3 linked regions of the Callithrix jacchus genome follow. The protein of the gene in region 2 binds, or shares a complex with, the protein of the main gene of each other region. Links are inferred from orthologs where the notes say so. Each region holds a gene or a part of one and is shown on either strand. Other genes may lie near its edges. The genes, in order: MED20, MED12 and MED31.

Region 1 (3,747 bases), on a different chromosome or scaffold from region 2:
TATAATCATATAATAGTTAATAGTATGAGTGCCTAAAGAATATTTCCCTACATGTATACCTATATCTTAGTTCATATCAGAGGAATGCGTAGAGTGGACACAGTACATAGTATGAATTAAGGAATAAGCAGCTTATAATCAGAGGAATGCCTAAGAGCAGACACTGTGCAGAGCATGATTTAAGGGAAAAACAGTTATGCCAGGACAAGAATCCATGGCCCAGGCGGCAGCGTTCAGTATCGTAAAGATACCCGCTGTATGGCAGGCTTGGGACGAGAGCCACTCCTCCTCATGAAGGAGTTGTAGGACCTTGCTCCCGTTCTTGTGGAAGGCTGCCCTCAGAACGGCAATCCACCTTGGTGACTGTGAACTTTATCAGCTCTTGCTACTGTGCTGCTTGAAAAGCATCTTCCCATAGGACCCATTGGAAGCTGCCAGAAGGTGGCGGTAACCCTGACAGCTCTGTCACTGCTATGTGACTTAAAGCATCCTCCTATAAATCTTCCTAGAAGGAGTTTGACCATAGATAGAAGTATTGCACACTGAGCACGGCCCACCTTCATACCTCGGTGACCTAATGGGGGTGGACCCCTTACTGCACACGGCCCTTGCCTTTGTGGGAACGGGCCCTTTGCTGTGCACTGTCCACCTCCTGGCCTAGGTGACCTCATGGGGGTGGACCCCATGTTTTATTGCTCACGACCCTATCTCTATCCTTAAAGATGATTTCACTCACTGGCCTGCCCCCTAACCTACACAATAAATACTCATGCTTCTGGACATTCGGGGCCTCGCCTGACTCTGCTTCTAGGTGGTGTGCCCCCCTCTCCACCCTGAGCCCAGCTGCGTTTTTGTTGTACTTCTGTGTCCTGTCTCTTTATTTCTCGGATCCTGCGCCTCAGCACAGCATAAGGCTCACCCCACGACCCTGTGGGGCCATCAGCCCTACATCAGGCTCCCAACGTGCCCTACATCCTTTCCCTGGAGCTGCCTTTTCCATTTGAGAGCAGGGGTGGCAGGGCACAATGGCTCATGTCTGTAATGCCAACACTTTGGGAGACCAAAGCAGGAGGCTCACTTCAGTTCAGAAATTCAAAACCCACTTGTGCAAAATAGCAAGACCCAATTTCTTTTTTTTTTTTTTTAAAGAAAGAGCAAAGGGTTCCAGGGTTCTACGCTGCATCCGTTCCATTTCCATCTTTCACGTATCTTGCTTCCATTAAGGAACACAGGAGGAGGAGGATGTCAACTGTGGGAAACAAGAGTGCAATCACTGAGAAACCCGCGAGAAACGGGGCTACCAGGAGAAGTATTTACCCCACACACGCTTTTATATGAGCTACAGCCACTGGCTTCAGATATCCTGGCCCCCGGGATTCTCCCACAGGAAAGATGCTCACACCTCCTGCGATAAGAAAAAAAAATGTCTGGGACCTAGTACCTTACAACTAATGCCTCCGCGAGCGTTGTACCTTTCCCTGCCACCTCATCTTCCAACTGAGACTTAAAACATATGAAAGATAAAAACTCCATTGAAACTAGACCAACCATGGAATTAAACATAGTGAGAAGCAGGTCCTAAAGAGTGCCTGGAACCACGATCTCCTTCTTATCAATAGCCTCTTTTTTCCTCTAGACCCAAGATCTTAAAATGGGCAAATTACAAACAGACACCAGCTGGTCTAACTGCATTTGATGGCTGAGACAAGGGTAGGCGAAAATCTCAAAAAAAAAAAAAAAAAATACTGTCTCCTGATCGCTTTTAACCTACTCCCTCCAACCCTGTCTGCAGGTAGGTCCTAATCCAAAGTCCCTATTTCCAACCTTGAGGTCCAAGTGCAGACAGTACTATGGCCTCACGGGAAGGAAGATGTACCCATAAGGGAAGAAGGTACATAACCATTGATAGGTCCCTGGTATAAAACCTTTGCTCTGCCGCCTTCCAAGAGGTAAGAGCGCATCTCCGAGGAAAAAGGCCCAGGGAACCCGCGGCCCGCACGGTATCCTCTTATCCAGATAACCCGAGGACATTTCGCTCAGCTCCCAGAGGACGGCGGGCCATGGTCAAGGACCTCTTCCCGGCCCTTCACAACTCCAAATCCCGCCCCACAAAACCCCTGCAGTCCTACCAAGTCACTCCCATGGTGTCGGGACAGGAAGGTGGCAGGATCACACAGTAGAAATGCGTCGTTCCCAGTCCGCCCACAGGAACTGCTTCAGTTCCCCAACACAGGCTTCGGTCGCAGAAGGGATTCCGGAAATACGTAAAAACAGAGCGCCGGGTCCACGCCTTCCCCAAGGAATGGGGCGTGTCTTGGCACCCGTCGGTGACGCCTCCAGTGACATAATCAGTGGATTCCCGCTCTCATGTTTCTAGCTCCGGAAATTCCCGGTTGGCTGAGCACTCTAGGCTTAGATCCATGAAGCTAGAAGAACGAGACTTAGACTGCACTATTGAGAGACGCCAACGTTAAAGGAAGTAAATGTATTTGGGAGTCCAGCTCCGGAACCCAGGAGCTCTTTTAGTGGGAGGGGCGGTGCTGATAGCGCTTCTGGCCTCCGATAGCTAGAGGGCGCTGTGATCGCAGCGTGGCCTCTTGGGAGGTGGGAGTTCACCCAAGTGTATTCTGGCCTTTTCGTCGTCCCCACGTGCGAACCTTCCCGGCAGTATTTTCAAGAAAAATGCCCAAGTTCAAGGCCACCCGTGGGGCCGGGGGTCAGGAAAAACATGCGCCCCTGGCTGAGCAGATCCTAGCTGGGAATGCGTTGCGGGCAGGGGTCCGGGAGAAGCGGCGGGGTCGTGGCACCGGAGAAGAGGAGGAAGAGTATGTGGGGCCTCGGCTGAGCCGACGGATTTTGCAGCAAGCACGGCAGCAACAGGAGGAGCTCGAGGCCGAGCATGGGACTGGGGACAAGCCCGCGGCGCCGCAGGAACGCACCACGCGGCTGGGTGAGTGTCTGGGATGAGGTCCGAACAAGACAATGGCTAGCAGCGGGGCCGGGGGCGGGGGGGAGGACAGCTAAAAAGTGTCCGGCAGGGGACTTGCAAAAGTAATGGAATGGGAGACTAAGCAATGGCCAGAGACCTCCGCGCCCACTCCTAGTTTTAGGCACTCCCTTCTAGGCACCCCCGAAGTTAGGCCAATAGGAAGTAATCGCTCGCGCCACTAAGTGTTCTTAGCATTTATCCATTGGTTTTGTAAATATTTATGGAAAACCTACTACGAGCTTTGCGCTATGCTCGAAGTTCAATCGAATATTTGAGTACAGAAGTAACAACATACAGACACGTCTGATTTAAGGACCTTACAGTCAAGCCCAGCGGAGAGACAATTACGTAGACTCTTAGAATAATATATTTCCATGATAAAATATCGTTTCCCTGGTGACAGTAGCATTGGTCTTGAGAAGCTTCTCCGATTGTAGGACCTTTAAGCTGAGAACTGAAAAACGAATGGGAAGTGTAATGAGCAGAAAACACGTTTCGCAGACAAAAAGGGAGAGAAATGAATTGACGTTTGATAGGTTCTTACTAGGGAGGGAGTGCTTACCTCTGAGGTGCTTCATCCACTTCTCAGATCTCATCTAAAGCAATATTTGACACAATTGAATAGTGGCCTCCTGCCCACAGTATCCTTACTTGGGTTATAAGACATCAACACTGCTGTTTCACTGCCACCTCACTTCTCAATATCGTTGGCTGACTCTTACTTGCAACCTCTTATCCTCAGTCCTCTGACCTCTTCT
Region 2 (3,747 bases):
GTATGATGGTGCGGGTTTATAATCCCAGCTAGTGGGAAGGCTGAGGCAGGAGAATCACTTGAACCCAGGAGGTGGAAGTTGCAGTGAGCCGAGATCACGCCACTGCATTTTATCCTGGGTAACAAGAGCAAGACTCCGTCTCAAAAAAATAAATAAAATAAATAAAAATAAAAATATCCTTCAGTTAGTTTAAATGTTACCTCAGCCTCCCGAGCAGCTGGGATTACAGGCACCTGCCACCCTGCCAGCTAATTTTTGTATTTTTAGTAGAGATGGGATTTCACCACGTTGGCTAGGCTGGCCTTGAATTTCCGACCTCAGGTGATCCGCCCTTCTTGGCCTCCCAAAGTGCTGAGATTACAGACCTGAACCACTGCTCCCGGCCTTGAATTAATTTTTCTTTCCATTGTGATTCAACAGCATTTTGTTATTTTTGTTACTGGTGTTATTTTTGTTTCTTGTTATTTGTTACTTTTGTTACAGCACACGGCTGTCTTTTCTCTAAAAGGCTCGCCTGTAGTCCCGGCTACTAGGAGGCTGAGGCGAAAGGATGGCTGGAGTCCAGGAGGTTGAGCCTGGGCAACAGAGGGAGAACGTGCCTCAAAATAAATAAATAAATGGCAATACGATAATAGGATATTGGCTCTGGAATCGAAAATCTTAGTGCTGGCTCTGTTACTCAGTAGCTGTATAATATTGGGTAAGTGAATTTTCACACTTTGAAAACCAGCTTCCTCATCCGCAAAATGGAGCCAATAATAATCCCTAACTCCTGAGACTGTGAGGAGATTAAAGGAGATAATGTCTGAAAAGCACCTGACACAGTAGGTGCCCCTTTCGCTAGACCAAGGGTTCTTAACCTGGAGTTCATGGACCCTTAGGGGATACATGGATGAATTTCAGGGGATCTAAGAATCTCCTTGGAAAGTAACATTTTGCATGTCAATATATGCATTCTGAGAAGGTCCATAGCTTTCATCAGCACCTTTAAGGGTTTGTGAATCAAAAAAGTTAGTCTGTGGTACCCTTGGGCAGAAAACACAAAAAAAGGTTAGGTAACTCGATTGTAGACCTTGAGGGATTAGAGCCAGCCTTTCAGGGTTTAATAGGTTCTTTCTTATGCATACATAGTTTCTAATGTTCACAATAGCCCCTTGAAGGAGGTGTTAGCGCACCTATTTTTCAGATGCCAGAACTAAGAAACGAAGTAATCTGTAATAGATGGAGTTTCTAACCAGTGCAAACATTATTTAAAACTTGTCTAGGCCAAAACTGAGCTAGGCTCTGGGAACCGAATTCCAGTCAGAACTCAGCACCACAGAGGCCTCCCTCTTCCCTGGTTTGCATCCCCAGCTCATTCCGCGCCTCCGGAACGTTTCATAGGTTTTTGCTGAGTTAAATCGACTTGCCGCCGCCACCGCCGAAAAGCTCCCGAGGCACAGAGCTCCGCCCCCACCGCGCCAGGCCCCACCCCCTCTGTGGTCGGTATTGTCCGATTGTTCCCGGCGTCCCTCGGCTTCCCTCGGTAGTTTCCGGCAATGGTCGAGAGTTTCTAACGTGCCCCCTTGTCTCTCGGCCGCCGTCCTCCCAACCACCGCCCCCCTTTTCGGCTCCCTCTCCCGGTTCCCGCTCCCCTAGTCAGCCTGGCCCTGCTGGCGCCTCAGGCGCTACGGGCTGGTCAAGATGGCGGCCTTCGGGATCTTGAGCTACGAACACCGGCCCCTGAAGCGGCCGCGACTGGGGCCTCCCGATGTTTACCCTCAAGACCCCAAACAGAAGGAGGTGCGTTCGATAATCGGGGCTCTGGAGGGGCCGGGGGCACGCGATCAGCCTAGGAGGAGGCATTGACGGCCAGGAAGGGGGGGCGGGGCGGTTCGGTGGGAACCAAAGTATTGAAAGGGGGAAGAGTAAAGTGGGGTGGCGTGGGAGGGCAGAACAGGGGGCGGTGGGGGGGTTCCAAGGTATGAATAGGGGGTGATGTAGGGGGCCGCACCAGAGGCGCCCTCCTCCACACACACCTCAGAAAGTTGTCTGAGGCAGCTTGGTGGGGTACGGCTGCTCGCAAGAAAAGAGTGATGTTTGAGGGTGCGTTGGGTGGCTGGGAATCATAGTGACCAAAGGGGTGCGGGTGGGGTCCAAGTGAATGTAAGGGCCCAGCTGTAAGTAACAATCTGTTCTACACGGAACCCTCCTCCCCGCCTGTCCCCTTGTTCCTTCGTTTCTCCTGCCCTCCTCTCCCACCACCTCCCACTAAGGAAAACAAAACTAAATGACGCTTTCCTGCCTCAGGATGAACTGACGGCCTTGAATGTAAAACAAGGTTTCAATAACCAGCCTGCTGTCTCTGGGGATGAACATGGCAGTGCCAAGAACATCAACTTCAATCCTGCCAAGGTGAGACAACTCTGCCAGGCTGAAGGAAAAGGCTGGAAAAATCTGAGAAGGAGCAAAGGCCCTGGGTTGGGAAGACTTAAAGGGACAACCTAAGTGGCTGAGTTTACCTTCATGACTTAATGATATCTCATTGACATTTGACCATCAAAAGGCAGGACCACCTGTCTCCCCTTCTTCTCACCCTGAGGTGCAGTTTTCTTCCCTCAGATCAGTTCCAACTTCAGCAGCATTATTGCAGAGAAGTTACGTTGTAATACCCTGCCTGACACTGGTCGCAGGAAGCCCCAAGTGAACCAGAAGGACAACTTCTGGCTGGTGACTGCACGATCCCAGAGTGCCATTAACACTTGGTTCACTGACTTGGCTGGCACCAAGCCACTCACACAGCTAGCCAAAAAGGTGAGGTACTGTTTCCTGTCCTTCAGGCCAAGGAGGGAGCATGAGGTACCAAGTACCCTCCTATTCCCATATTAAGCTACATGGGTATCAGCTCATGGGGTTAATAGAGACCTCACTATTTGCAATGTCCATCCAGGTCCCCATTTTCAGTAAGAAGGAAGAAGTGTTTGGGTACTTAGCCAAATACACAGTGCCTGTGATGCGAGCCGCCTGGCTCATTAAGATGACCTGTGCCTACTATGCAGCAATCTCTGAGACCAAGGTTAAGAAGAGAAATGTTGTTGACCCTTTCACGGGTGAGTAACTCCTAACACCAGGTATACTGCTGATGGCTTCAAGGAGTGATAGAGACACCCTTGGAACCATCCTCCTTCTTAATCTAGATTCCTTGTTTCTGCTTGTTTCTTGCATTCGCTTGATCAGTAAACACTGAGAAATTTGAATATCTACTTTGTGCCTATACTGGGCTACAAAGATGTCCAGTGCATAATCTCTGCCCCCAGGATACTGGTAGTCTAGTAGGGCTACTAAGACATATGTACAAATAACATAATCAAATATAGAAAGTGGTGAATGTCAAGCCAGGAGGCAGAAGGTTCTTTGAGTGGACAGAAAGATTACTTTCTTATGGGGATACCTGGGAAGGCTTTAGGAAGGTGGGATTTGACTAGAGACTAAAAGGATGAATCACATTTACAAATACGGTGATTGGGGGTGGAGGTACGGTATTCTAAGTAGAAGGATATTCTCATCAGAAGGATAGTATCAAATAGCCCTTTTCCCCTCTTTCCTCCAGAATGGACTCAGATCATCACCAAGTACTTATGGGAGCAGCTACAGAAGATGGCTGAATACTACCGGCCAGGGCCTGCAGGAAGTGGGGGCTGTGGTTCCACGATAGGGCCCTTGCCCCATGATGTAGAGGTGGCAATCCGGCAGTGGGATTACAATGAG
Region 3 (3,747 bases), on a different chromosome or scaffold from region 2:
TTAAAAGTCTTTTCTTTGGATTATTAAATGGATAAAAAGCCAGAAAAGATACAAACGGTCCTGCAGGCAACACAAGATGTATATGCTTCATGAGTCAACTGTTACTGCATACAGAAAAGTGACTTCAAGACAAATTTGAAACATTTCCTCTCAAATTTTTGTCTTAAAAAAAAAAGTTCACTACTGCTTTCTGACTACCTGCTTAAAACAAAGCAGAGGTGTGAGTTCAAGGTGTAGTTTTTTGTTTTTTTTTACCATTAAAAGGGAATTGCTTTCTGGTTATAATACACTTCTTGCAACTTAGTAAGCTTTAACAGGAAAGTGTCTGCTGAACAACCTGAATGGTAAACATATATATACACATAAATGAGTAAATGCATGTGAAGTATTTAGCACTGTTCTTGACACAGAACAGGACTTAAAGAAAAGATAGCAGTTCTAAGATTCAGGTAAGACTCCTCCCAACAACCCCAAACACCTTCCTTACAGATACTCTCTTTTTGTGTTCTTAATTTCAGCCCATGGCTGAAATTACGTAATGTTAAACAACATTTACAGATTGTGAGTTCTTTGAGATCAGAAACCTGGGGAGATGGGGAGGTCGGTAAAAGACAAGGTCAGACAAAGCAGAGCCAGATCATAGAGGGGTTTGGCCCAAAAAAGAGAGACTGGATTTTATTTCGCATGGAAATGCAAAGCCATTGAAAGATTCTAGGCAAAAAAGTAAAGTGTTCTGATTTATATTTTTAAGTGATTAAGCAGGCTTCTGTGTAGAAAGCTGTTTTGCTTTGTTTGGTTTGCAGGGAGCGGGAGGGGAGCAGGAAGGTAAAAGTGGAAGCAGAGATAACCAGGCAATAGATTACTGCAGTGATACAAGTTAGAGATGAGGGTGTCTTGTATTAAGGTGACAACTGAAAGAAGTGGAGAGATTCAAAATACATTTTTGCCAATGTGAAACTAAGAAATCTATTATATAATAAAGTATACACATGCTTAGGATTATAAAAATTAAACTTACTTTAGATACTTGGCATATTCTGGGTCTTTCCAGTAAAGCAAGTATTTAAGATAATTAACAAAAGCTTTGTCTTTGAAGTAACCTCTTTGGGCAAGAACTGAAAAGCATTAAAAAAAAAAAAAAAAGAAAATCTGTAGGTCAAACCAATTCTTAAACTATGATTTGTTACCCCTAATATAAAGGATCTATTTACATAACACTCCCACCACCAACACACATCGGATTCAAAATACAAGTCCCAATGTACACAATTACATCTATACACCAGCTAAGTGTAATTTCATTTCATTGAGAATGTGTACAAGCAGATACTATTTTGAATTGCAACTCTTCTGTCAGAAATTAACAGCTACTCAATTTAATGAGGTGCTTAAAAACTTACAATTAAGGTAATTTGGGTTGGCTAAACATTGCACAAATTCCAACTCCAATTGAAACCGAAGTCGATTTCCAGCATCATCTAGGAGACAAGACAGCAAAAATCATCGAAAATAAAGGTCACTGTATATAATACTGATTTGTGGTAAGGAAAGAATAAAGAAACCTGACTAATATCGAGATGGTCTTCCTAAACTGGGAGTGGGTGGAGATAAACCTTTCTTCGAAATCTAAGAAAAGCGGAGCCTTGATTAAAAGGATTAAGTTAGAAGTTTCTCTAAAGTTAAAGAGAAATCATCAAAGAAAACAGCCACACAAACAGAGCAGAATTCCTACCAACTCGTGGACCACTTTGCAGGAATTTTAAGTGATCACTTAGGTAAGCTGTAATAACTGTGCTTCCCCTATTTTAATAATGCATTGTAACAATTGTTAACAGTGATTACGTTTCGCAAAAGCTACGCGCTGAATCCTTTAAGAAAAACTTAGGATGCAAGCCGAAAAAGAGACTGCAGAGAGCCTAAAAGATCGTGGAGTTTATGCATATCTGAGAAGCAGCAACAGCACAATGATACACAAGTCTAGCGACGGTATTTCAAATACGCAAGCTCGTGAGAAGCAGAAAACCAATCAAGGAGGACACGGTTTAACACACAAGTCCTCTCTTAATCTCGCCCACCCTGGCGAGCTGGTGGTTTTTGAATAGCAAAGATGTGGCACAAACCAAATTAGGAGAACTGCGAAAAGTACCTTAGCCTTTCTAGACGCCACAAGGGCCTTCTCTCCGCCCTGTCCAAATACGAACCCTGCAGAGTGAGGCCTGAAAGGAAGCCCCGGGGAAGAGGTCTGGGCCTAGGAGCGTTCCATCTGAGAAGACTCCAGGCTCAGAGAGCTACTCACCTGTCTCCATAGCGACGGCGGCGGCCATAACAAACACACACCAACCCGCCACCAGCCCGACAGAGCAAACGCCCAGAGTGGCGAGGGAAGTTCCAAAAACCACAGCTCCCTCTTCCGGTCCCGGGGCATTGTGGGATATGCGGCCGGGAGGCTCCGCCCATCCCCGGGCCGCTCCATCCCCGCTGGCTACCGAACGGCGAGGGGGCGGGGACAGGGCCGTGGGAGCGCCCGAGGGGCAGAAGCCTAGTGTTTTAGCCTTCGAAGGACAATGATGCTTCCACATCATCGTGTTGTGGCTCTCCCCCCTGTGGTAGTACAGTAGTTTTTCTCTCTTCTGCCTGCGGTGACGGTTGGTATGTGGGGTGCCCAGAGGCCTCCCTGGCCCCCCTCACGCCTGGCAGAATGGCCTCAGCCCAGGGGGCAAGCAGTCTTCGCCCCGGTGCGGATCTCCCGCTACGCGGAGACGTCTACGGTCCGCCCGGATGGGTGGAGACCTCACGGGGCCGCAGCGAGGGGTCTTCCCTCTCCCCGTCGGGAAAGTGGCTCCCTGGCGTCCTCAAGGAGTCCTCCTGGCACGTGGAAGCCTCCTCGCGGCGCACGGAAACGACCTCCCGCCACGTCAGGGACCCTGCGGGTGGAGACGTCTCTGCACCGCGCGGAGAGCCCAGCCCCGCGGGCCAGGCCGGCCGCCACCACCACCCCCTCCCTCCGAGAGAAAGAAGCCTGATGAGATACTGCTTCCCAAAGGCCACCAAGGTGCCAGGGCCCTCAGCCAGGACAGAAAGGCCTCCAGTTGCCAGCCAGCCAGCTGCCAGGTGGACCAATCTTTTTCGGTTTCATGGAAATAGCTCATAAATCAATGTAAGAAACAGCTAGGCTGCGGTTCCTGAACACAGCCAACGTTTTTTGACCATCCTGCGGCGTCTTGGACCAGCCTGCTTTTGACCCAGTGAATTATATTCACTTGAAGCCAGCACAAAAGGTTTTCAGGCCCAGGATGCTGTATAAATCGGGTTGATGGACAAAGGCTGTTTGAACCTCTGAGCCAGGTGAGTTTGGGATCCAAAGCCCTCCGATGACCTTCGCCCCTTAGGAACACAGACCAAACTGAAATCATGACCTGTGGAATGATTCCATGCCTGCTAAAAGCTTGAGAAGCAACTAACTCATAAATTATTAATTGCCCTTTGTTTATGTTTCAAAGTAAATGGTTTTCTTTTACCTGGCACCCCCATTCACATACTTTTTTAAGGTAGGTTAGATGTTAAAAATGATAGCAAACCTACCAGCAAGCAAAAATAATCTTAGAAGGGAAAGTGAAAGGAAGTCATTGAAACCTGACCTGAGGTTTGAACAAGATGGACAAGAGTCATATTTATTGAGTAGCTGCTCTGTGCCAGGCACTACAGATACTCCTCCACTTACAATGGGGTTACCTCCCAATAAACCCA

Evidence for each region.
Region 1: MED12 (region 2) and MED20 share a complex: the UniProt entries of both Homo sapiens proteins name them as parts of the mediator complex. The link is inferred for Callithrix jacchus from reciprocal best matches to the Homo sapiens genes MED12 and MED20.
Region 3: MED12 (region 2) and MED31 share a complex: the UniProt entries of both Homo sapiens proteins name them as parts of the mediator complex. The link is inferred for Callithrix jacchus from reciprocal best matches to the Homo sapiens genes MED12 and MED31.

What each region holds. Positions count from the first base shown.
Region 1 is NC_133505.1:50,422,628-50,426,374, forward strand, and holds the start of MED20 (mediator of RNA polymerase II transcription subunit 20), read right to left. Parts: upstream 2,245-3,747; 5' UTR 2,144-2,244; coding exon of another isoform or gene 2,130-2,143; intron 1,250-2,129; 5' UTR 1,199-1,249; coding exon 1,104-1,198; intron 1-1,103. Other genes in the region: BYSL (bystin), read left to right, coding at 2,683-2,950. UniProt on the Homo sapiens protein: Component of the Mediator complex, a coactivator involved in the regulated transcription of nearly all RNA polymerase II-dependent genes.
Region 2 is NC_133524.1:68,398,158-68,401,904, forward strand, and holds the start of MED12 (mediator of RNA polymerase II transcription subunit 12), read left to right. Parts: upstream 1-1,514; 5' UTR 1,515-1,683; coding exon 1,684-1,782; intron 1,783-2,289; coding exon 2,290-2,394; intron 2,395-2,601; coding exon 2,602-2,793; intron 2,794-2,929; coding exon 2,930-3,089; intron 3,090-3,589; coding exon 3,590-3,747. UniProt on the Homo sapiens protein: Component of the Mediator complex, a coactivator involved in the regulated transcription of nearly all RNA polymerase II-dependent genes.
Region 3 is NC_133506.1:108,211,076-108,214,822, forward strand, and holds the start of MED31 (mediator of RNA polymerase II transcription subunit 31), read right to left. Parts: upstream 2,407-3,747; 5' UTR 2,325-2,406; coding exon 2,297-2,324; intron 1,479-2,296; coding exon 1,401-1,478; intron 1,116-1,400; coding exon 1,019-1,115; intron 1-1,018. UniProt on the Homo sapiens protein: Component of the Mediator complex, a coactivator involved in the regulated transcription of nearly all RNA polymerase II-dependent genes.